Linked DNA regions of Tribolium castaneum. The main gene of each other region encodes a partner of the protein of the gene in region 3 in a complex. Links are inferred from orthologs where the notes say so. Each region holds a gene or a part of one and is shown on either strand. Other genes may lie near its edges.

Region 1 (4,015 bases), on a different chromosome or scaffold from region 3:
AAGGGATTATAATGCGAAACTGGTCCTTAATCTTAAAAGAAAAGATTTGATAAAAAAAAATAAAAACAAAAAAATCATATTTTTTTCACATTTAGATTTAGTGTTATTATTAAAACTTGTGAATCTAAAACTAATTTATTTTTAAGATTTTTAAAATTAATTAAATTTTAGTAGAGAGGCTGAGGATAGGTTGTGAATAACGTGTGAATTTTTTGAGATTTTTTTCAAATTTGAAACCCCCTCAAACTCCAGAAAAAGAATGCGTTGTATTTGGGAGAAGGTTCGAAGAAATTATTAGGGATGCCTTGACTAAGCATTAATTTATATATTATTAAATATTCAAATTATTAATTAAAAAAAACAATTACAGGACATAAGTTTCTAATTTCCAGTCTAATTTTGATATTGTTAAAATCTTTAATAATTAAAACCTGCCTAAATAATTTTTTTAGAGTTATTTTCATACACAAGATTTTTTTGTCCCATCCGCCATGTGTAAACAAAAAGTAAATTAATCGTGGTTTCAAAAGTTTCAACAAAATCTACCATTTATTTATAAAGTAATTCTTAGAATTAGTGCCTTTTAAATTAACAGAATTTTATAAAGATTGTTTAGCGATAAAAATGTAAGGTCTTTTTTGTGTCCCGTCCGTCACCAATTTGTATTCTTTTTCCTGCTCATATTTCAAATTTTACAAATGTGGCTCCGACTATTGTAGGTTGCAAATTGTTTGACTGGTACTAAGTTCCTATAAAGAAAAATTCACTTCTACTGATACTGGTGATAAAAATTGGTAAAAAATCTATAGTGTCCCGTCCGTTAAAATGAAATGGCTGCTTATATATCAAGAATTGAGGTGGTTAATTAACTATTTTTTGACGTGAAATTAATTGTTTTTTTAATAATAATATAATAATAATAATTTATTTGTGGCAGTAAAACAGTTACAATATAATTAATTACAACAAGAAAAAAAATACGATAACAAAATTAAAATTTTCTACGAGTTGTTCCTACCACAAAGTGGACCAAAAGACAGCAAAGCTGATCAAGGTTTTGACCCAGACAATAAATGAGAAATAACAAAAAAATAAACAATTTGATTGAAGAAAAAAATAAAAAATATAATAATAATAAAATATCTAATTCTATTTAACAAAATTATAGAGCAAAAAAACACATAAGAAAAATCATTTTGTAAGAAACATTTTGTATTTATGTTTAAAATTGCTGATTTTAGAATTTTTTAATGTCAGAGGAACTTCATTAAGTAGATTATTTTTGATTATTTACCATTTTTTGGCTCTCGAAAAGTTTGTACCGCAAACTAGGAGAATCAGTAGTCAACATGACCATTTTTTTATAAATATTATTGCCAACCACTTACCACAAAAAGGCCCTTATTGTTCCCAGACTCCATTTTCCCTTCACTGGCGTGATGTACTATTAAACTAAGTAACGGATGAGTTGCTGATTGTTCTATAGTATCCAATTCAGTAACTTGTTGAATTTGTCTAACTAAATTGACACACATTGGCATTGGTTTGTTTAATTTGAGGACAAAACAGGCCGGAATTGCTGCACTATTTTGGCTACTTAGCGATGAAAAAGACGGCGTACTAAAATAAATTTCCCTCAAAGAAAAAAAAATTTTTTTTAATAATTTTTACCTTTTCCCGTTAATATTCCTATTAACTGTGATGAGAGTGGTCGTTTGCAACTTATGTGTAGCGGACCCTTCCATACACACCGTCACACTGTACCCCAGCGCTTTACTAACGATCGTATCAACAGTAATAGGTTCAATATCACATTTCTCAACATTTAATAAATCATAAGGAGAGACAAAATAGGTGAGTTTCATGGGGTGTCCCCCTCGGCGCTTCTCCAGCACCCCAACCGGAGACTTATACAGCAGGTTGAAAGGTTCCTTCATGAAAGACTGCAAGTGAGCCAAGGTGCTCAAATCAGACTCCAGCGACTGCAAGGCTGTGAACGCCTTACACTTGACCTTTTTCTCAGCATTGAGCTGGTAAATCGAGGCAAAACCTTCCAACTGGGCAGTGAAATCGGCAAAATCGCCACTAGATAAACAATTGACGAGCTCAGCGCAACTCTGTTGCTCCAATTTACTGTCATGGTGCACTTTCACGTCTTTGACGGCCCCCGTCTGGTCGAGCACTATCTCCAGGTAGAACATGTCGGAGGAGATGAAGAGCTCCACCCCCGAGGGGCCCACCATGAACTTGAGCCCCAGCTGCCGCGTCAAGCTCTCCAGCCGCTCGATCATGCTCTGCAAGGACGTCACTTTGATGGAGTGCTGCAGAGTGTCGAGGCATTTCTGGTGCTGGCTCTTCTCGACGCTGTCCAACGCGTAGCGCTTGTCCTGAAAGTAGGGCATCAATGGAGGCAGTGCCAGACATGACATAACCTACAAGCATGGCCATTCGCACATTTTTGGATATCTCTGTCAAGCTTTTGTACTGCGACGCCTTCGAGCGCAGCTTCTCCATCAATATCTCCAACTGCCAGTCTTTGGATTTGTCCACAACGGACGGTGGCATCGCTAAATTGCCTTAAAAGTAAACAAAGTTGTAAATGTCAAAAGTCAAACTCTTGGCTGGGGCGCGCAACCCACCGTTTGTTACGCGATTCATGATGAGTTCGGGCGAAATTAACGTTAAATGTTCGTAAACATTTTCTATTTGGGGCGAATTAAGGGAAAAAAACCGATTTTTCGAACATACATCAGCACCAAACAAAAACTTGACAGTTTCGTTACTTTCCCCAATTTAGGGATATTTGGCTACGCCACCGGCGCCCAATTCAAACTCGTGTCTGATAATAACAATAACAATAAAAATATTCAAGTGCTTTTCCATTCATTTGTGTTTACCAACTCTCAACTTTATCAAGATTTGATACTTTGGAGTGCTTTGAATTGGTGGCACATATGTTGTGCTTATTGCAACGCAAATATTTTAATGAAATGTGGTCGTAAAACAAACTCCCGGAATTAATCCGCGTTTTTTACCAACGAATTTCGTATTAGATCCGTCAATGACAATTAAAGCCGTAATTCGCTACAACTTTTCAACTTTTTAGATCGCAAGAAGTTGCTGACACGATAATCTCCTCATCTTCCCCCAGAACTGGAGCAAATGCCCGCTAACACATCACAACTAAGATAATAGTACACCATAGGCACATTTCCAAAATTTTGAATAGTTTATTCTCGTTTTTTTTTTTATAAAGAAATCAAATACGTTGTGCGTTAGTTTATACCACATAATGTTTTTTTTTATTATTTTGTAGGCATTCAACAAAAATCACATAAAATTGCTTAGTTTACTGTATTTCAAAATTTCTTAGATAGATGTTTTTTACAAAAAATGTTTCCAAACCGTTAAAACATGATATGAGGGAGTTTTAGAAGAAATCAAGCAAGATTGACTACTTTATTTTACTCCATGTGATTCAGATAAAATGAAAAGCTTTCAAAAACCAAATGCAACAAAAAATAATTTACACGAAGGGTGTTTTACATTTTATTTCTGTAATAAATTAATAATAGCCCCCGTCACCTTAGGTATCGTCTGATATTAAAGAAGAACCTTGGTCCCCTTTATACCATTGTATTTGCTGTTTCAAAACTATAAAAACGTCAACGTCACATTTTCTCACAAAATTTGCTGTGATGTGTGCTGTTATAAATTATTCATGCAGTTGAAGAAAATAATAACTAATGTAATTTATACTTTCAATGAGATATCTAATCATTAATAACTATTTTACAATTTTATCAACCTTATTTAAAAAATATTTGGTAAAGTGCGTCGTTGTTGTTTTTATAGTTTTGAAACAGCTAGTGGCAGATTTAGTGTAATAAAATTAAAAGAAAAAAAATTGTAGTAGTTATTTTTTTTAACAAGTTGCTTTGTAATACAAGCATAAACTAAATAACTCAAAATTGCCAGAAATCACGTAAATACATTAGTTTAATGAGTTATAAAA
Region 2 (2,907 bases), on a different chromosome or scaffold from region 3:
CGAAATTTGAATACACGAGGTGATTTCGTACAGGGATGAGCGAGATTTTTTAAAAATCGGGATACTTACGATCGCCCATCTTCTACCGTTGGGATAATCGAACAAACAGGAGGAAAATGGATGCGAGGGAAAAGACGCTACGGATTGGGGGCTTGTGATTGGTCGGCGCTAACAGCCCTGCCAACCCCACCAAAAAAACACACTAAATAAAGCACGCCAAAATATTAAATTTTCCACAAACAACCTTGTTTTATATTCTCAGTTCCACTTGAATACCGTCGAGGTACTTAAAAACAACATTTGTGATGGATATAAATTGTAATAATAAGTTTGTATGAAACACAGCTGGAGAACTTGTTGTGGCAGCACTGAAAACCTTATCAGAGTTCAGGGTCGGCCTAAGGGCATTTGTAGGCCCTCAAATTTATTATTTTTTGATAATCATGAATTTAATTAATCTAGTGGTGCTAGCTTTGCTAAAACGACCAGTAAAAACTTAATAAAAATAACAGTCTGTTTATTTTCAAAAATAATAAACAATAAATAATAATAGATCTTAAACCTAGGGTAAGTTGGAATTATTCACAATCCAAAGATCTTCACGAATTTGAGTGTTGGCTGGGCGTTAGGCCCCCACTGTGTTCAGGACTGTGTTTCTGCTTTTTTCTCTTCTTTTCCTTTTTCCTCTTCTTCCGTTCTTTATCTTCGTCGTGTCGTTTCTGTTTTTTATGCTTCTTCTCGTGTGTATCACTTCCAGCATCGGTAATGGTAGTCTCCTGACTTGGAAGCCCCCCATCTTTGTGTTTGTGTTTTTTGTGTTTATTTTTATGCTTTTTCATAGGCGCCGCATTTGCGTAGCGGTATTGTTCAGGGAGCTAAAATCCAATACTCAACAAAACACATTAAAGGGAAATTATCAAGCTTACCGCCCCAGGGTGTAGTCTAAACCCATCCAGTTGGATGCTAGTCAATGGTAACAACTCCTTGCCCCCAATTGGAGGCTTCTCAATCACTGATCTTAGCGAACTGTTATCATGCTGTCCAGGAGAGTCAATAACGCCAGGCAAAGTTGGCAAAAACGAAGATAACTGTTCCTTGAGTTTTTTCCCACTGAATTTGCTGTAAGAGTGCTCAAGGCCATAATAGGCCATCAAATTCGTCGCTCCTGTTAGTTCCGACTCTCCTACAACCACCGTCCGCGTGATTTAAACGACTTCAAGCCTTGTCTTGCTTACCTGGAGGCTCTTTCATCAAATAGAAAGGTCCACTAGGGACAATTGAAGGGTTCTTTCCTAACAAAATTGTCGTTTTTAATGTTCCTGACGAATCCTGACGTGAAACGACAGGGGAACGAGCCCCTCTAGGCGAAGATTTGGGCGAATATTGTTCCACTTTACGAAACTGATCGCCCATCATCTTACAACTTCATCGTTTTGCAACAACGATGCAGCTGGAAATGGGAAATGTCACTTCAGCATCACGTACCAACACAAAATCGTCAAACAAACAAACAAATCAATTGTTACCCTGGTAATTTTCACGGTCTGGCGTTTGGAACCCTGCTAGTTTGGTAACTTTAGGTTTAGTTTGGTTGGCGAGATTGTGCAATTGTTACTGTTGCTAAGATACCGCGTCGAAGCCGCCGCCCCCAAAACATTGCTGGTTTTCTCAGTGAAAACATGCGTCTTTTGTGAAAAAAGTGGTTTGAGTTAACGAAAATGGGTTGTTGCGAGTCGAAAAAGGAGCCCGAGCGGGAAGAACCCGCTCAGAGAGGGTGCACCGACGTGTTTTGGTTGTGTTTGTACATTGCGTTTTGGTTACTAATGGTAAATAACCTTGATTGGTGTGTAATTTGCCTCATTAATATTTTTAGGTTTTAATTGCGGCGTTCTCCTTTGTCTACGGCAATCCCATCAGAATTATAAACGGCTATGACTCATTTGGGAACATTTGCGGGACAAAAAATAACAGAAAAATGTCCAATTTGGAAGTATCAGGACTGGACACTTCAGACAAACAATTTTTGCTCTTCTACGATATTAAAGAGCTGAAACAGTCGCTGAAGATATGCGTAAAACAGTGTCCCACGGAGACGTTAAAAAAAGTTGAAGATATCCAGAAATATTACCAAAAAACTGGCGTCAGTTTGTGTAGATATGATTTTAATTATGACGATTTTAAGAACAAGAGTATTGCGAATAAGGAGATTCTGAGTAGCTATTTAGGGCCGTGTCCGGCACTTCCTATTTACGAAAGGTATTTCCCCTAAACTTGTGTTCTATAAAGATAAAACTGGTTTTCTAAAGCACCCCAGTTCTCAACCGTTGCGTTCCTAAATCATTCCAAGATGCAGGCGAAGCAATTTTGAGCAATTTTTACGAAGCTTTGAACAGTTGGGACACACTTGAGCAAATTTTGGGCGACATATACAGCACCTGGAAGGAAATCCTTTATTTAACGTTTTTATCACTATGTGAGCCTTTGGATAGTCACAGGAAAATTTGTACAGTTTGATTTTCAGTTTTTTCGCTGTTAACTATCTCAATACTGCATCTACTGGCCCATTTAGTGTCGTACATAATCATGATTTTGTTCACAATTGCGAGCATCTTGGGCACAGCGTTTTTGTGGTACACTTATTTTGATATTAAGTATGATTTGGATAAGACGAACAAACACATGCTTTTGATGGAGTCAATTCGCAACGAAACGGCCTTTTTGTGGTACTCAATCATCGCCACCGTTATCACAGTAAGAGAAATAATTAAAACTTATCGGGATGTCGTTCATATAGTGAACGAAATAGCCTGTAAAATAACTCAAAATAGTCCGTAAAGTAGTGGAATACATACTTTTCTAACGAAATCGAGAATCAGCCTGCAAACCGACCCATATAGTTTAAAATGT
Region 3 (4,054 bases):
TGAATTTTACTCGCAAAATTCGAGGTGTTGCGCCTAAAGCACACATTAAAAGTGTTTCCGGTTCCAATAACAATATTCATCAAAAAATTTGTTTAGTCAGGTATCAAAATATTTTCAAGGTGGTGGCACTTCCGCTTATACAGAAATTGGAAACATTTTTTTTAGTGAAAAGCTATATTCTTTATTGCTTTTTTTTGGCTACTCAAATTTTTCTCAAATATTTTGTGTTTATGTTTCCTTTTGTTTTCTAGATATGTATTTATATTTTTTTAAAACTGTTTAGATTTGCACCTTCCCTTTCAAAAATCGACAACATTGTCATTTATAATATTTCGAAATCGTATTTGGGCATTTAGAAGAGAAAGCTTTATTCCCTTATTGGTGTTTTCAAAAAAGTTAAAAAAAACATTTTAAAGTTACGTTTGGGAACATCTCATTTTTTTTAATGTAACCCTAAGCTTTATAAATAACTTGAAAAATATTATGGTGGTTATAGTTGGCTCGATGCAAAATTACTGGTAGTTTTTTTCTTCATTTAGTAAAGAAAGAATCAATTTGGCAAAATTGTGTTTTAAGTAGTTGAATTTCTTCAAACGTAATCTTTCAAATTTAGAGTTTGTCACTCTTTACGGAATTTAAAATTTGAAAAAAATCTAATCATTTTCTTTGAAATACTCTACAGGAACTTCGATTTTTGAAAAAGAAGGTGCAAATCAAAAAAATATAAATATTACAAAAACTGTTAACTTTGCTATAAAAAAACTGGTAAAAACTCCTTAAAATATCTCGCATAATACAAAAATACAGTAAAATCATAAGCTTTCTATTTAAAACAATAATTAAATAATAAAATTTTGTCACCCAATGTCGGTAAACTAGGAACCTACCTGCATAGCGATATTTTCATGCACAAATACTGCACGTAGAAAAACTGTTGCACTGCCGAGGGCTGGCGATTAAAACTTTCGGTGAGTCGGTCACATATCGCGTCCAACATTCCAGGTCTTAACACTAGCAACAAGTCTAACCAATCAAAACCGCTCATCATGCAATACTCTAAAATCGTGGTACAGTAAGGTACACTTAGAGGCGTTGAGCTGTCGATTTGGGGCGGTAACTTAAACATATGCAGACTATCGTCTGAATCAATCACGAGTAAAATATTGCCGAGCCAGGACATGTCAATGTTTGAGATTTTGATGCTAGTTTTGGGGTATCTGGCGAGAGGTTCGTCAAAATAACGCGGACAAATGGTCAAAGTGGTGCTGACCAAATGTTTTAGAGTGTCTCTGTAGAGGCAATGGATGGAATTGTCGGCAAATGTGGCCACGACATAACCACTTGAAACATTATTTAATAGACTTAGTTTACTTGTAGCTAGTGAAGTGACCTTGCTGTTATACTGGAAGTGGCACTGGTATTGCCACAACTAAAAAATAAGTAAGTATCGATTATCACATGATGAGATAATAGACGTACGACAGTGTTAAAAAACTGGGGAGTTTCAGATTTTCCTAGTGATTTGTGAACCGGCAAAGCCTTCTCTCTCAATTCCCACACTTGCAAACAGCTTATTTTATCACTAGTGGCTGAAACAACCACCGAATCTGCGTCCTCTCTCATTATCCATTTGATATGACTTATGTGGCAATTTTTTTCTTTGGAAACTTGTTCCACTAAAACAAACGTTAAACAACGGCTTAAATGACTCAGTTTGTTACTTAATGCTTCCTTAGGCGCCTCAAATAGAAAAAAACTGAGTAAAGACTGGCTTGTGATGACACACTTATCTTCAGCTTTCCTGACAGAGACTTTATAACACTGAATAGGCATTGATAAGTCTCCGTTACTCACAGCGAGCAAAAAATGACCGTCTACACAATAACATTATTTGGTGTTTAAATGATTTTGTAAAAAACCTACTTTTGCCATAGCAAATATCAGCAGCTTTGATAAAAATCCTAGTAGGGGCCAGGCTTTCTGTCGCCATGACCATTGCGACCTGGCTCGTGCTTTGGGGGAGTAAAATCGAGCACAACATTCCCGTCGTTGTGAGTAGCAGGGCCCCACTGGCAGGGCGCCCCCCAAACTGTTTAACAGAGCAGGCAAACTTGACATGGTGAAACTTTTCCGTGTACAAAGCGCTGTCTTTTTTCTCAGAGTTGAGGCAGATTTTCTTGCCCGAGTGGAAAAACGCCGCTGACAGAATGTGCTCCCCTTCTAGGACAGTCTGGAGGACAAGGGTCCAGTCATTTAGGATGTGGTCTTTAGCTTTGTAAATTTTTATCGAGCCGTTTTCGTCCGCGACTAGCAGAAGGTCGCCCGTAAAGTCCCACTGGAGCACCGAAATGGGGGAAGAGTTTGATAATATTCTGGAAATGGAGGTTTAATACAGGAAAGTGTTTTTGGGGACGTACTTGTGGACCTGCCAGGGACTGTTTAAATCGCAGACGTAGACATTAGAGTTCCAAAAGAGGGAACCCGCTTCTTCGATATTGCATTCCGTGCTGAAAGCAACAACGTTGGAGCTTGAAATCGAGCATAAGGTTGACTTCTCGAGTCTGGAATTCAAACGGTTGGTAAATGGTTAACTTTCGTTTGGGCGGTACTTGGTGAATGATAGATGCTTGCTGGTGTCCACCGATTTATTTATTTTCTTATTAATGGTGAAAATATGGTCCATTTTTCGGTATTTATCTAATGAAGCATCTTTTTAAAACTTTACTGAATTGGCAGATTTTTGACACCTGACAGCTGTCGGGCATACGCGTGAATGTACGCTGACGAGAAATCTTCTATTCTCATAAAATTGCTCACAAAAGTAAATTACGAAGTGTTGTTCGAATTGTGTAAGCTCTGAGTTTAGGTTTGATGGATAGAAAAAAAAATAAAAGGTTAGCGATTAGTAGAGAATTCTCATGAGTGTACATTCTCGGGAGATGCAATACTGGTTGCGCGCGAAACATTGCCAACGTTACGAGGGACAACATAAAAGTATCCAAATACGAGAAGTACCCACCTGGGCGGAGTTTAATTGGATATTGGTGTTTAAATACTGGATGTCTTATTTCAGTTCCTTTTCAAACCTTGCAATAGTAAAGCAAGTCCACATGCGACTGCTTTAAAAACCCCTGATTTAGTAACCTTTTTTTAAAGTAGTCATGCCCCAGTGGGTGCTATAAGAATTTAGCAAACTCTATTTCGTGGAGGTGGTTTGAATAAATTGCAACGAAAATTGTAAAGGACTTTTATTGTATATTCTAAGTGTATAATACAAAAAATATTTTCATAATGGCCTATAACTGTATAAACAATGCCTTTAATAACAATCTTAAAATAATGAAGACATAAGTTGTGACTAAAACAACCAAGAAACAACGCCTTTCATAAATTAGTACCGATTTTTAATAACTGTAGGGCATCTGGGAAATAACGCTAGAGATATCGGATAGTGTCACTTGAGAGGAATGTTATTCGTTTTTAAAAAATAAATGCAAAAGCGTAAGTACTTAGGGGAATTAGGTAATATGCACAAGCAACAATTACACATCGTTTCATTCTTATTGGTAGACACGAATTGTGCGTTTAAAAGTTTCAATCGGGGAAAATTTAACGTTGTCGAATTTCACTATAAAATTACATAAAATCTTAAAATAAATTATTATATAAAGAATATTTAAAAATAGATGAGCCAGAGCGAAGAGCCCCATTCACGATGTATAAAAGGAAGCAAAGTTTAAAATTAAAATCGCAAAATAGTGGTTTGTGATACCTAGTCGACGTGTAAAAATCTGATAAAACTTCACAAACCATTATTTCAAACACAAGCATAGTCACGACAAGAAATAAGAGTACGGGCATATCTATCTATTGTTACATAGAAATAGATATCCACCTCCCCACTAATGGTAGTGTAAGTCAATCGAATTACGCAGCCAGTCAGCAGGGGGGTGGGCGTGACCTCAGTAAGCCGACGCTTCTTTGTATTCTGAACCTTCCATGGTGAAAAAGTCTTCTAATTTCCACTGTAACGTCTCAAACGTCGGCCTTTTCA
Region 4 (2,868 bases), on a different chromosome or scaffold from region 3:
CGCATAAAAAACACGAAACTCCGCCTGTGGCAAGTGACGAGGCGAATAAACAGGCAAAAAAGAGGGACAAAAAGCCAACAAATGAGGAAGAAACCGACAGGTATGATTGTTGGTGGTTTTAAGGGAAAATACTAGTTGTGTTTAAAGGAAACGCAAGCGGAGTCCTGTGCCTGAAAATCGGGACAGGCGGGAGAGGGACGATAAGAGGGTCCGGGACGATCGGGGGCGGCATGACGACAGGAGAAACCGCCCCAATGACCACCGTTCTCACGATAACAGGTTCAGAAACCGGCGTCCTGATTACAGAGACAGGGAACGGGATTACAGGAACCGACGGGACGATAACAAAAATTACCACAACCGGGAGCGAAACAGAGAGAACCATCCAAGGCGGCGTAGCAGAAGCGCCTCCTTTGACCACTCGAACGCCCGTTGGGGCCGCGAGTCGGACGACAAAAAATCCGACAAGAAGGAAAAAGACCAGAAGGAAAAGCAAAAACCGAATTTCGGTCTTTCGGGAAAACTTACCGAAGAAACTAACACTTATCGTGGCGTTGTTATAAAATATAGCGAGCCGCCTGAGGCTTGCAAGCCGAAACGTCGGTGGCGGTTGTACCCTTTTAAGGGCGAAAAGGCCCTTCAGACTTTATACATACATCGCGAAAGCGCCTACTTGATTGGGCGCGATCGCAAAGTTGTTGATCTCCCTGTAGATCACCCTTCGTGCTCAAAACAACACGCAGCTTTGCAGTATCGCCTAGTCCCTTTCACGCGTGAGGATGGCACCACTGGTTTGTGGGACAGCTGGTAGTGTGTTGGGTTTTTCATTGTTTTTTTCAGGGAAGAGAATAAGGCCGTATTTGATTGATTTGAACTCGGCTAATGGGACTTTTATCAATAATAAGAAGATAGAGCCGAGTAAATATGTGGAGTTGTTGGAGAAAGACGTGATCAAGTTTGGGTTCAGCTCAAGGGAGTACGTTTTATTGCATGAGAATAGTAAAGATGAGACACAGGATGACGATGTGAAGCAGGAAGAGCCGGCGGTTCAAGTCAAGAGTGAAGAGAATTGAATTTTGTGTATATATTTTAATTTAGCTTAGGTTTCTTTCAATAAAGTAATTTTTTCGATTAAAATTCCCGCTCTTACGATTTAGTTATTCTCTGGGCAGATGGCATCGCAGTGTGCGCGTTATTTTGACATTTGTGTATTTGAGGTTGTGTTCGAAATAAAAACTGTTCAATTGATTATTTCGTTTAATATTTAAACCCGTGAGTGTTTTTCCCCATCATTATGTCGTCTCAAATGAGCACGAAGGAAAAACTCCTTTACATCCTCGACGATATTGAGTTAATCTCCAAGTACGTCCCCCTTTCGGGTCATTTCGTATGGTTTTATTTGCGTTTTTTAGAGAAATAATCGAGAATTCAATCGCCCCCAAGCACCTCAAGCTTTCCGGCCCTGAATACGCTCAACTGACCGAGCTTTTGGTGGCCAAAAACACCGAACTGACTGAAACCCTTAAACTGGCCGCTGAACAGGCGCAAATCGACAAAAAAATGGACATCTTGAAGGCCGAAGTGGAGCGTCAGGACAACGACATTAACAACTTGCAAAAACAGCTCAAAGAGGCCGAGCAAATCCTGGCCACTGCGATTTATCAAGCCAACCAGAAACTCCAGTCCATTTCCCGCGCAAATAAACGGCCGGTCTCGTCCGAGGAACTTATCAAATTTGCGCACAGGATTAGCGCGTCTAATGCGATATGTGCCCCCTTGACGTGGCAACAGGGGGACCCGCGCCGGCCGTACCCCACCGATATTGAGATGCGGTTGGGGCTGCTGGGGCGGCTGATGAGCGATCCAATTAACGGGCATTTGTTGCAACAGCAGAACAGTTTGTCAGATTTACATAGACAGGGGCACCCGGGGGAAATACCCGCCGCGCAACAAAATCAATTTGCATGGCATCCCTCGGGGGAGATTCACATGAGTGTGGGGCAAGGGAGTGTCCCGATGGACACGCGGAACCATAAACAGGAGACCGAGGATGTGGAGGTCATGTCCACGGACTCCAGCAGCAGTTCCTCAAGCGATTCTCAGTAGTTTTGTGTTTTTTCCCTGGACTTGATTCATCATATTTATATAAAAAAATTAAGCGAGTTTGTGTGGAGAGTATACCATGAGGGGAAATAAAATGATAAATCAATAGATTGAGGCGGCTATTTGGGGAAAAAGTCTTGTCTGCTTATCTCATCAATCAACTCTTCGTGACAGTTTAGATAAGATCTTTGTTTGCGTCTGACGAATATTGTTTTCTTATGTTTGTTTATAATGGAAGGAAAATAAAACACATTTCATTGTAATACCAACGTCTATTATTTAATTATTCCCTACAAGCTGAAGTGATTCAAATTTATTGTTTGATGAAATGATAATCACAAAAATGAAGCAGTTTCTCATTTTCTGAAATTTCTAAACAACACTCACTTTCTATAAAAACAAGTTTGTTGTTTTGATTGCGTCTTTATGATAGGTACAAATTTACAAGTAGGTTTTTTGATTTAAATTTTTATCGGATATGTGAGTTTTTTATCACAGGGTCGTAGTGTGATAATTTGAAAATTAAACCGCGTTATTACAGCAGAGCTAGGGCTGAAAAACGAGAGAAAGTCACCGAATATTATCGATATTCTTAACAATGACATTATCGTATCACAGTATCGATAATGATAAGTTTCCAACTGTAATCAATTTTTCGAAATACTTTAACAAACGAGTTATTTATTGTCATTATTACGCGATATGGGTATCAATAAATCAATAACATACAGGCGACTCATTTCCAAGGCTTGATCAACTGGTGGT
Region 5 (2,698 bases), on a different chromosome or scaffold from region 3:
ATATTTTTTTACCTGAGAAAATTAATCGCATTCGTTTCTTTTTGCCGCAAAATCAAACCTTTGGTATTTTTCTTGCGTATTTTCGCATCACTAGCACACAAAATTATCACAATAACGACAAAAATTATTTTGAAAAAATTCATTTTAATTGTTGGACGCATCGAAACGAAATGATTGATTTGATTGTTAATAGAACCATGTCAACAATTATTAATAAACAAATCGTGTAAGCCAAGTACACTTTTGGTGTATGAAAGTCGAGCGGATTTCGTGTACAGTTAAGTCCAATTGGGTCGAGAAACGGAACTTGTATTTGAATTTGGCGGGGCGGGTTCAGGGACTTTTGGTTTTGAGGTTTGTTACAAATTTTGCATTTTTTACGATTTTTAAGGAAAAACAAGGAACTTACCTTAATTACAGCGACAGCCAATCAATTGTGATTTGGATGGAAATGGGTGGGATTTTGGTGCAATTGGTGGGATCTTGGTGATTTATGTAACTAAACAAAAAAATAATTTATTTCACTTAACCACCAAAAAATCACATTTGTACCCTACCTAGCTGATTTTATTGCTCAAATGTCCGTTACTTTGGCTATTCTGGTTAATACTTTGTTCACCTGTCCCGTTAACATTCGAAGGGGTTAACAAACGACTCCTCCGCCTGGTGTAGTGTTGCCACAATAAAAGTTGTTGATCGTCGATAAATTTCGAACACTGAGCATTCACCAATTCCCTCCGGAAGTGTTCATATTGCAACAAATCCAAAAAATACAAACACATTGGATATTTCAAATATTTGGCGTATTCGGGCTCCTTCCAATAAAGCAAATACTTCAAATAGTTAACAAACGTACTATCCTTAAAATAACCACGCTGTGCGAGAACTAAAACGCAAAAAATTGTATTTTTTCCCTCCCGAAAAAGTGAGGTTACGTCATTACAGTTGAGATAATTAGGATTTCCGAGACACTGCACAAACTCTAGCTCAATCTGGAAGCGGAGTCTTTGCTGATCGTCGGTTTCCGGAGCCCCTGACATATAATTCCAGCCTAAAACTTGTTTATTACCTAAATTTAATTAAAGGACGCTTACCTTTCCCAGCCATGTTTGTTGTGCATAAAATGGCGCGTGATTCGAATTCGAATTTTTTTAATTAATCAATTAGGATAAATGCAAGTTCGTGTTGTAAGAGCGTGCACTTAAAATGTCACAAGTAACAACAATAGAAAAGCGACCATTAGAGGCTTGGCAAATTCCCTTGTTCTTCTATTGAAAGTATTATTCTTGCGTAATTCAATTCTCAATAATAAGAAATCGGATCGAAACGGTACATGTTGTAAGAAGCGTGTGGAAAAATCAATCGCTGGTGAAAGTAGCCCAGTTATTTAATTGAGCGGGAAATTGACCACCAATAAGAAAATAACTGACTAACATAATGATCCCCAACACGAGGAATTTTCATGGAAATTCCCATGGTGGTGGTATATGGTAATGGTATTTGTATGAAAACAGGTGGATGGGTTGCGGCTTTGTCTACAAAACATTGCTGCTTTGTGTGTGAACAATTTTATTGTTTTGTTGCTGCCTTTCAGTAAGTCGAGATTTTTTCTTTTCACTTTTGCGGGATCAATAAAAAATTTAAAGTGAGGACTTTAATCGCGTTTTTTTTGGCTCATTTATTGTAATTTTGAATTATCTTATCATTAATTATTTCATTAATTAATTTAACAATTTTCTAATTATTTAATCAGCTATTTAACGCCTGATTAGCGTTTTTAGTCTCAAATATGTTTAAAAATCATAATTTCTTTTTAATTTACTGTAATTACGGTTTAATTATTATCAGTTATTATTACTATTAAATCCTTTTTAAGTAAAGAATTAATTAAAAAAATGCTTTTCGATTTTTACAATTTTTAATTAAATTAAAGTTTCTTGGTAATCATAATTAAAATAAAAAACAAAGTCACCCTTTTATATGATTTTGCTTCATTTTTCGATCATTTGTTTTATAAAAAATTTGATGCAATAATTAATTCACTGTTTAATTTAGTAAATATCAGTAATTTATCATTGCTAATTTTAATGGAAACACATTACTTATTATTTTATTAATGTATTAATGAGAATTGACGAAATTCATAAAAAGTTCACTGCATTATTTTGAAATTTTTTTCTATTTGTTAAAGCAATTGTGCAAAAACTCGTGTATTGTTACGCGGCTACTTATCACAAGTGCTGTGTCCACAATCAAATATTTGCCGAAATCGTGTTTGACATTTCCTTGTACGCCACTGTCCTATTACCTAACTTTTTCACCAGTGGCGTGCACGTTACACAACACGCAAATAAATCAATTCTTAATCGTTTTTGAGGTTTCTCAACAATGAGCAATAAATCAGCGGTTGCGGAATTCTACAAAAACCGACACATCCTCATCACGGGCGCCACTGGTTTTATGGGGAAAGTACTAATCGAGAAATTACTACGCTCATGTCCTCAATTATCAACAATTTATTTGTTAGTTCGTCCAAAAAAAGGGAAAAAACCTAACGAAAGACTTGAAGATATCATCAATTGTCCTGTACGTATGTCTATCACTTGTCAAAATTTAAATCACACGCCTTTTTGGCTAGGTCTTCGATAAGTTGCGTGACCAACCCGACGGCGAAAAATTACTAAATAAGATTTACTGC
Region 6 (4,181 bases), on a different chromosome or scaffold from region 3:
GCTGTACTCAATCCCGGGCAATAGCCGGATCTGCAAGGGGTTGGTAGTCTAAGATTCGAATTACGGTCGTTCTGCACTCATCTGTTTAACGGATGAAGCTTATTTTATCAAAAATGCGAGTAGGTAAAGTCCATTATTTATCTTTAATTGTTAGAAAAGTAATTGGTTCAGAATTCTTGTCTCCGGTTTGCCTATGGCATCAGGAAATTCCAACATACTTGGGCTTTTGAGGAAGGAGTATAAATAAAGTTTTTCAAGTTTTTTCACTTTGAATCATTCTAGGTTCATTTTCAACAATGTAATATTATTTAACAAACACAAATTTAAAAGTGTTGAAATTAGACAATCGAATTTTGCATGATTGTGTAAAGTATTGAAAATTAACAAGAAAAAATGAAAACTTAAAAAAATAAAGATCAAATAATTGAAAGTGGACGTGAGGCGACCATGCTATATAAAAATCAAATTAACAAAACTTGGACTTTATTTATATCACAAAATAGTTACTTCCAAGTCCCACTGATGAAATAATCTTCCGTCGTGACATACATAATGTTACCGTAAGTCGCACAAGTCTCTTTTAAAAGTCCCTTTTTTAATGTAGCTAAAGATTATAATAGCATCCATCGACAGTTCTAGAAATTGAATCTTCTTATAGTTTCAAGGCTGCAATATTTGACAAATAATTTTCCGAACAAGGACAGTCATGGGAATCTACTGGTTATTTTGTACTGGTTTGTTATGTCAATTTTTTTTTATTTTGTCTTTATTCATTTGCTGTATATTTCTTCTTGTTTGAAAGGTTTAAGTGGAAGAGCAGAGAACAGCAACTTTGCTGTTCATTTGAAACCACCTGTTTATTCGTACATATAACGGGTTTTTATTATTATTATTTTTCCTTAAGTTGTAGATACTAATCACCTGCCTCATCTAAAACTACTTTCAAATATACAGAGTAATTCAAAAGTACTCGTACAATCTCTCGGGTGCTGATAAAGGACATCAAACTGAATTAAAAGTTCCTATGACAAAAAATTGTTTGAGTCTTTTTTCACGAGATAGCTACAGCTCTTCAAAGTTAAATTTTTAAGTTAATTTTTTGATGCTTCGGACCATATTTTTTTGACCTTAATTAGCAGAAACGACATCTCTTGCAACATTAAACAAATACCTGTTGAAAAAAATTAACAAATAATGTCTAATTATGTGCAAAACAATAAAAAAACTTGTAAATTCGACAATATCTTAAATTCAACATATTAGGAAACAAAAGAGAAACAATCGATACCGTTGCTAAGGAATACAAACTTAAAAATATATAAAAAAATCTGACTTCATTTTTGTGCTTAACTGAACGTCTTTTATCACCATACGAGTGTTTGTCGAACATTTTTGAATCATCCTGTATAGGATATTTCCGAAATTAGCTACAATACAAACTTATTTTTTTAAGAATGTTCAAAGTTAAATTGGTTAACGCATGCAATTAGGAACGTAGAAAAATTATGAAGTTTGTTAAAAGTTGAATAACATAATAAAAGTTTTTGTTTTTATTTTTCAAAGATTATTAAATTGTCTACTTAAAAACAAAGTTTCAAATGCCTAACCTTTATAATTAAACAAATATTTGACTTTAAAATTTAATTTCATCAACAATGCAGATTATTCATGAGGATTACTGTTACCATAACCTTAGCAACTTCACCACGGATCATTTGTTGGAGTTTAAACAGGGATTTAAAAATTCGCCATAGATAAGAAAATTTTAGTTATTTTACTGTGAAAAATAACTGAAAAATAATAAAGTTATTATTAGCTGAAAATTTTACTCTTCGACTATTGAAACAATTGTGAATAATTTTTAATGACTTTTTTTAATGTTTTAAGTTAAGTATAATCTTTTGAGTAATCAGCACTTAACTGTTAATGTTCTTTAATAGACAATTTAAAGGTCTTTTAGATGCAAAAATAAAAAATACGGTATTTCATTTAAGTTTAAAGTTATTCAAATTTTAACAAGCCTCTTAACTTTTTTTATTTTCTTGATTGCAGTGAGCTAAAAAATAATTATATCCTTAAAGTTTTCTAACGTGGAACCATAACTTTTTTCATTATAGTGTAATTTGTAACATATTTTGCTCAATACTGAAGTCGTATTTGCTATTTCCCGCTTCAATTATCTGATTGTTTTCTCAAAAACTACAATATTACAACCCCACCTCATTTTCTCAAACAAGTGGACTGAGGTTGTTTTTCCCCTGTAGCCTTCAGTTGTAAAATACTGAAAAAAGGCTAAAATTCGACGCTTTTTAGCCCCCTTTACCATGGCCTGGAACATTTTTTTTAGGAAACCTATTCGCGATACAATCCTTTGGACTTTGGATATTATCTCTGATAAAAAGATATTTTCATCCGGTAACCAGAAGATAGTACAGTATGATCCTAATTCGTATCCCCTACTATGGGTATGAAGTGATTAGGGTGGAAGAAAGTTACCTCGGCTCTGGCTTGGTCCAAACGTTTTTGCAACTCGAGCACCTTCTGGGAACAGTCTTGCGACTCTCGTGCCTTGGCGGTGTTATCGTGGTGGTCTTTCTCAACACTGAATGATTATGCAAGACATTACGATTTTGCCTGTCACTAATTTTATCAACAAACCTGCGTATTATTTCGTAGATAATGGGCAAGATCTCGATATTCAAATTTTCCACCGTGACATTCCTCTCTGACTCCTGGTTGTGCTCGTCAGATTCCATCATAGCAAGGCATTTCCTGAATTTTCATTGAATTTTCTTTCCCACATGAATTTTCTGACACATTCACTCAGGGATTTTGTGTCCCTGGTGTTGGCGACGACGCCTCAAATGTCACAAGTGTCAATAATAATGTCAAACTAAAAACAACAATAATTTCTGATTTTGGAAAAACTTGGCAATTTCAAGCCCGCAGAATGGGTTCGTTGGCTAGCAGACAACACGCAGGGGTCGAGGAAGTGGACGTGGTGTCAAACCACGCGTACAAGTACCCGCCCAGGTCTGGTATGTCGCTTTGCTTTTTTCCGTACCAATTACCTTGAAGGCGTTTTTCTGAAGGGAACTACTTCGGGAGCCACTTTATAATGGGGGGCGAGCGCTTCGACACCCCCCAGCCCGAGTCTTACCTCTTCGGCGAGAACTCCGATTTGAATTTCCTGGGCAGTAGACCAACCCCTGTAAGTAGCCATTATGCGGTTGTTTCGCCCCCACAGTGCCGTTTCTAGTTTCCCTACCCCCCGCCCCAGCCTAATGAGCCCACAAAAACGCTCAAAAGTCTGGTGAACATCCGGAAAGAGTCGCTGCGGTTTGTCCGCGCCCCTGCTGATTATTCCAAACCGGCGGAAAAGAACGAGCGGGACATCAGGGATATTGAGCTGGGCAAGAGCTCGACGTTTAATATCGAGTTCACGTTCGATTGTGACGTCAGGTGTGCAATAACAATCTACTATTTTTGTACCGAGGAGTTTACACCAAGTGGAGTCACGTAAGTTGGGTTTTTGTCATGGGTTTGCAATTTTATGGGGTTTGAAGGTACTTGCCGCGTGACCCTAACACGACCTCCGAGACTTTTCATTACAAACGCGGTGCGAACCAACAGTTTTGCCAAATGACTCACGTTTTTGATCCCTCGAAGTACACAGAAGAGGAGTTGTTGTATGATGTTGACCGGGAGATTATTCCAATTGCCATTCACTGTGTGGCGGAGGAAGGCGCTGAGGGTTGGTTTGACCCGTTTTTGAATTTAATTTTTGAATTGATTGTTCCAGAAATGAGACAATCACACACAACTATCGCCACAGCCGAAAAATTGTCCGACGGTACTTATGTTTTAAAAGCTCTCAAACAGAAATTATTCGTTGACGGTCTTTGCTACCTCCTGCAGGAAATATACGGCATTGAGAACAAAAATAACGACAAGGTGATTGATTATTTACATGCCCTACTGGGCATAAATACACAGTGAAATCTCTCTTAACGGACACCTATAAGCGGAACTCTCTCACAAACGGACAATTTTGTTGGCACTAAGCCACAATAAATAATACACATAACTTTAAAACCTCTTCTGAGGCCAGAATCTAAATCAGTTTACTATTGAATAAAACATGTATTCTTTTTTTTCTGACGAATTGTCATAATTAACAT
Region 7 (2,750 bases), on a different chromosome or scaffold from region 3:
GTTAAAATACCAGGTGTCATCACTTTGGTAGACACCCCCTAACTTTTTTATTTAAAAAAGTATAAAAAGACATATTCAGGGTTTTAGGGAAAGGTTTAGCAATATTTTTTTAAGGATTTTTCAAGGCTGTGTAGATTGCTGTTAGTTTTTAAGATATCAGTCAATGTTTGGGAAAGTAGTTAAAATACCAGGTGTCATCACTTTGGTAGACACCCCCTAACTTTTTTATTTAAAAAAGTATAAAAAGACATATTCAGGGTTTTAGGGAATGGTTAAGCAATATTTTATTAAGGATTTTTCAAGGCTGTGTAGATTGCTGTTAGTTTTTAAGATATCAGTCAAAGTTTGGGAAAGTAGTTAAAATACCAGGTGTCATCACTTTAGTAGACACCCCCTAACTTTTTTATTTAAAAAAGTATAAAAAGACATATTCAGGGTTTTAGGGAAAGGTTTGGCAATATTTTTTAAGGATTTTTCAAGGCTATATAGATTGTTGTTAGTTAAATCTTAATTGTATTTTATTTATAAATAAATTACGGTAAATTTCCAAGTCTTTTATAATCGATTTTTTCAAGCTGAACCAACGGCCTCAACTGCTCGGCAAAAATTCTCATATCCTCCGCAATAGCATCTTGTCCACTCGGGGCCAAAACGGACAATTCAACTAAATAACTCTGGGAAATCGCTTCTACGCCTTCGCCCGGCTTACTCGTCATGCTCCCCATTTTGAAAATCTTCGACACTGTGATTTTCATCCTGCCTTTGCGGAACATGTACCCCCGGGCGATGTACTCAAAATCCACTCTGCATCCAAGCTCGGTCAAAAATTCAACAATTGTGGAACTGCAAGCCATGTCAATACTCGATCTGACGACTGTTGGCCGGTTCTTGTCGCCTAGCTCCTGTTGCCCCACGTAGCGCAGCTGCCAGGCGGCGTCGGGCACGTCGAGGGCTCGCCGGACTCGCAGTGGGAGCACCATGGGGGCCCCTGGGTTGGTGGCCCGGAGGGTGAAACACAATTCGTGGTCGTGGAACGACTCAGGGCCGCTGTCTACGTTGTCGCACAGCCCGCGCAAGCGGTGGAGGAGCACCTCGACGTATTGGTCCAAGACTGAGCCCTGGAGGAGGTACTCCTGGTTGGGGATTATGTTGCATTTGAGGGCGGCGTTTAGGGAGTCGATGGCCGTGCCAGGAGTCCCCATTTCTGTAACAGTGACAATCACTTTGCGGAAAACGGCCTATTTCCGACAATTACTGAAGATTATCACAGTTTTTGGAGGTTATGTTTTGATTGAAGTGTAAGTTGTCAGTGTATGTCGGCGGAGACAGCCCCAAAAATGGTGGTGGCACCATGAAAATTACAGTCGACCAGACAAGGGCTGCGCGCATGGAGCTAGCACCGTTTCCCCACCATTCTCGTTTTCTACAGCCAAGTTCACACCAGGAAAATTATCAAAATAATCGTAATTCATTATAAAAACATCAATAAGTTGTTACGCTGACTTGCATAACACATTTGTAGAACATCTCCTGACCATTGTAATGAGTTTCTATTACAAATTAAAACTTAACTGTATTTAATTTCTGCATTTTTTATTCTCATATTCAAGCAATGCAAACTGATTTTTTTTCACCCCCTTTATATGCAATTTTCTTTATTTTTGCAGGAGATTAAGCTCTTCGATAGGGCCTTTGACTGTTAAAAATCATGTTCGGACAAACACCCCTTGGGACCTTAATGAATTTTTAAAGATTCTTTAAAATTTTCCGATTTCGCAAATTTTATCTTTAAAAATTCATTACAGTATTCAGAATGGCCTCCGAAGGGCGAATCAGTTATTACAGGAAATGAGGAAAATAGTAAAAATAACGAATAAGAATTTTGCAAAATGCTTTTATAGAAAAGTTGTTGTACTTTATGTTTTATTACGTGGTAAACTTAACACACCTTAACATGCCCTTTATAAACGATTAAACGCCCTTTTTCATCAAAATGTTTAAGACGTAAAGTTCATTTTTGCCCTTTATACATTTCAATAAATCATACTGAAGTTTATGTCGTTGACTCAAAGGTAAATTTATCTGTCCATAACATATTCAATAGTAATTAATAACGCTCTAAAAGAGCAGAAACAGACACAAAATCCATAAAAATGAAAGATTTGACATTTCCAAATGATAACATAACCCTACTTTTAAAACCGAATTTTCTGGAGACTTAAATTTAACACAATTTGTGGCGATACCAGTAATTTTCACACCAAAATTTCACATCAACGGCTCGTTTGCACAAATAAAAGGAGGAAAATAGTGAAAATAATAAATAAGAGTTCTGCAAAATGCTTTTATAGAAAAGTTGTTGTATTTTATGTTTTATTATATGGCAAACTTAACACACCTATACATGCCTTTTATAAACGATTAAACGTCCTTTTTCATCAAAATGTTTAACACGAAAAGTTCATTCTTGCCCTATATACATTTCAATAAATCACACTGAAGTTTATGTCGTTGACTCAAAGGTAGATTTATCTGCCTATAACATATTGAATAATAGTTATAAACGCTCTAAAAGAGCAGAAACGGACACTAAAATCCAAAAAATGAATGATTTGACATTTCCAAATGATAACATAACCCTACTTTTAAAACCGAATTTTCTGGAGACTTAAATTTAACACAATTTGTGGCGATACCACTAATTTTCACACCAAAATTTCACATCACCGGCTCGTTTGCACAAATAAAAG

Evidence for each region.
Region 1: MED16 (region 3) and MED1 share a complex: the UniProt entries of both Drosophila melanogaster proteins name them as parts of the mediator complex. The link is inferred for Tribolium castaneum from reciprocal best matches to the Drosophila melanogaster genes MED16 and MED1.
Region 2: MED16 (region 3) and MED19 share a complex: the UniProt entries of both Drosophila melanogaster proteins name them as parts of the mediator complex. The link is inferred for Tribolium castaneum from reciprocal best matches to the Drosophila melanogaster genes MED16 and MED19.
Region 4: MED16 (region 3) and MED4 share a complex: the UniProt entries of both Drosophila melanogaster proteins name them as parts of the mediator complex. The link is inferred for Tribolium castaneum from reciprocal best matches to the Drosophila melanogaster genes MED16 and MED4.
Region 5: MED16 (region 3) and MED31 share a complex: the UniProt entries of both Drosophila melanogaster proteins name them as parts of the mediator complex. The link is inferred for Tribolium castaneum from reciprocal best matches to the Drosophila melanogaster genes MED16 and MED31.
Region 6: MED16 (region 3) and MED9 share a complex: the UniProt entries of both Drosophila melanogaster proteins name them as parts of the mediator complex. The link is inferred for Tribolium castaneum from reciprocal best matches to the Drosophila melanogaster genes MED16 and MED9.
Region 7: MED16 (region 3) and MED18 share a complex: the UniProt entries of both Drosophila melanogaster proteins name them as parts of the mediator complex. The link is inferred for Tribolium castaneum from reciprocal best matches to the Drosophila melanogaster genes MED16 and MED18.

Annotation. Positions count from the first base shown.
Region 1 is NC_087399.1:8,918,250-8,922,264, forward strand, and holds the start of MED1 (mediator of RNA polymerase II transcription subunit 1), read right to left. Parts: upstream 2,801-4,015; 5' UTR 2,659-2,800; coding exon 2,640-2,658; intron 2,577-2,639; coding exon 2,437-2,576; intron 2,388-2,436; coding exon 1,672-2,387; intron 1,621-1,671; coding exon 1,389-1,620; intron 1-1,388. UniProt on the Drosophila melanogaster protein: Component of the Mediator complex, a coactivator involved in the regulated transcription of nearly all RNA polymerase II-dependent genes.
Region 2 is NC_087395.1:19,591,557-19,594,463, forward strand, and holds MED19 (mediator of RNA polymerase II transcription subunit 19), read right to left. Parts: upstream 1,490-2,907; 5' UTR 1,417-1,489; coding exon 1,236-1,416; intron 1,184-1,235; coding exon 927-1,183; intron 876-926; coding exon 600-875; 3' UTR 501-599; downstream 1-500. Other genes in the region: RNA-binding protein cabeza, read right to left, coding at 70-79; Ctl1 (choline transporter-like 1), read left to right, coding at 1,719-1,826, 1,874-2,256, 2,307-2,473, 2,522-2,751. UniProt on the Drosophila melanogaster protein: Component of the Mediator complex, a coactivator involved in the regulated transcription of nearly all RNA polymerase II-dependent genes.
Region 3 is NC_087396.1:16,567,347-16,571,400, forward strand, and holds the start of MED16 (mediator of RNA polymerase II transcription subunit 16), read right to left. Parts: upstream 2,801-4,054; 5' UTR 2,684-2,800; coding exon 2,610-2,683; intron 2,562-2,609; coding exon 2,418-2,561; intron 2,373-2,417; coding exon 1,924-2,372; intron 1,875-1,923; coding exon 1,722-1,874; intron 1,677-1,721; coding exon 1,480-1,676; intron 1,430-1,479; coding exon 888-1,429; intron 1-887. Other genes in the region: tyrosine-protein kinase Src42A, read right to left, coding at 3,963-4,054. UniProt on the Drosophila melanogaster protein: Component of the Mediator complex, a coactivator involved in the regulated transcription of nearly all RNA polymerase II-dependent genes.
Region 4 is NC_087397.1:1,784,347-1,787,214, reverse strand, and holds MED4 (mediator of RNA polymerase II transcription subunit 4), read left to right. Parts: upstream 1-1,172; 5' UTR 1,173-1,294; coding exon 1,295-1,362; intron 1,363-1,412; coding exon 1,413-2,106; 3' UTR 2,107-2,368; downstream 2,369-2,868. Other genes in the region: uncharacterized protein LOC661495, read left to right, coding at 1-100, 148-791, 841-1,073. UniProt on the Drosophila melanogaster protein: Component of the Mediator complex, a coactivator involved in the regulated transcription of nearly all RNA polymerase II-dependent genes.
Region 5 is NC_087401.1:17,495,425-17,498,122, reverse strand, and holds MED31 (mediator of RNA polymerase II transcription subunit 31), read right to left. Parts: upstream 1,547-2,698; 5' UTR 1,108-1,546; coding exon 1,095-1,107; intron 1,052-1,094; coding exon 944-1,051; intron 887-943; coding exon 558-886; 3' UTR 501-557; downstream 1-500. Other genes in the region: uncharacterized protein LOC656943, read left to right, coding at 2,378-2,586, 2,639-2,698. UniProt on the Drosophila melanogaster protein: Component of the Mediator complex, a coactivator involved in the regulated transcription of nearly all RNA polymerase II-dependent genes.
Region 6 is NC_087395.1:15,956,684-15,960,864, forward strand, and holds the start of MED9 (mediator of RNA polymerase II transcription subunit 9), read right to left. Parts: upstream 2,801-4,181; 5' UTR 2,760-2,800; coding exon 2,659-2,759; intron 2,603-2,658; coding exon 2,497-2,602; intron 31-2,496; coding exon 1-30. Other genes in the region: Mrgn1 (E3 ubiquitin-protein ligase MGRN1), read left to right, coding at 2,951-3,033, 3,079-3,211, 3,260-3,519, 3,567-3,754, 3,803-3,954. UniProt on the Drosophila melanogaster protein: Component of the Mediator complex, a coactivator involved in the regulated transcription of nearly all RNA polymerase II-dependent genes.
Region 7 is NC_087394.1:9,286,381-9,289,130, reverse strand, and holds MED18 (mediator of RNA polymerase II transcription subunit 18), read right to left. Parts: upstream 1,414-2,750; 5' UTR 1,256-1,413; intron 1,205-1,255; 5' UTR 1,203-1,204; coding exon 534-1,202; 3' UTR 501-533; downstream 1-500. UniProt on the Drosophila melanogaster protein: Component of the Mediator complex, a coactivator involved in the regulated transcription of nearly all RNA polymerase II-dependent genes.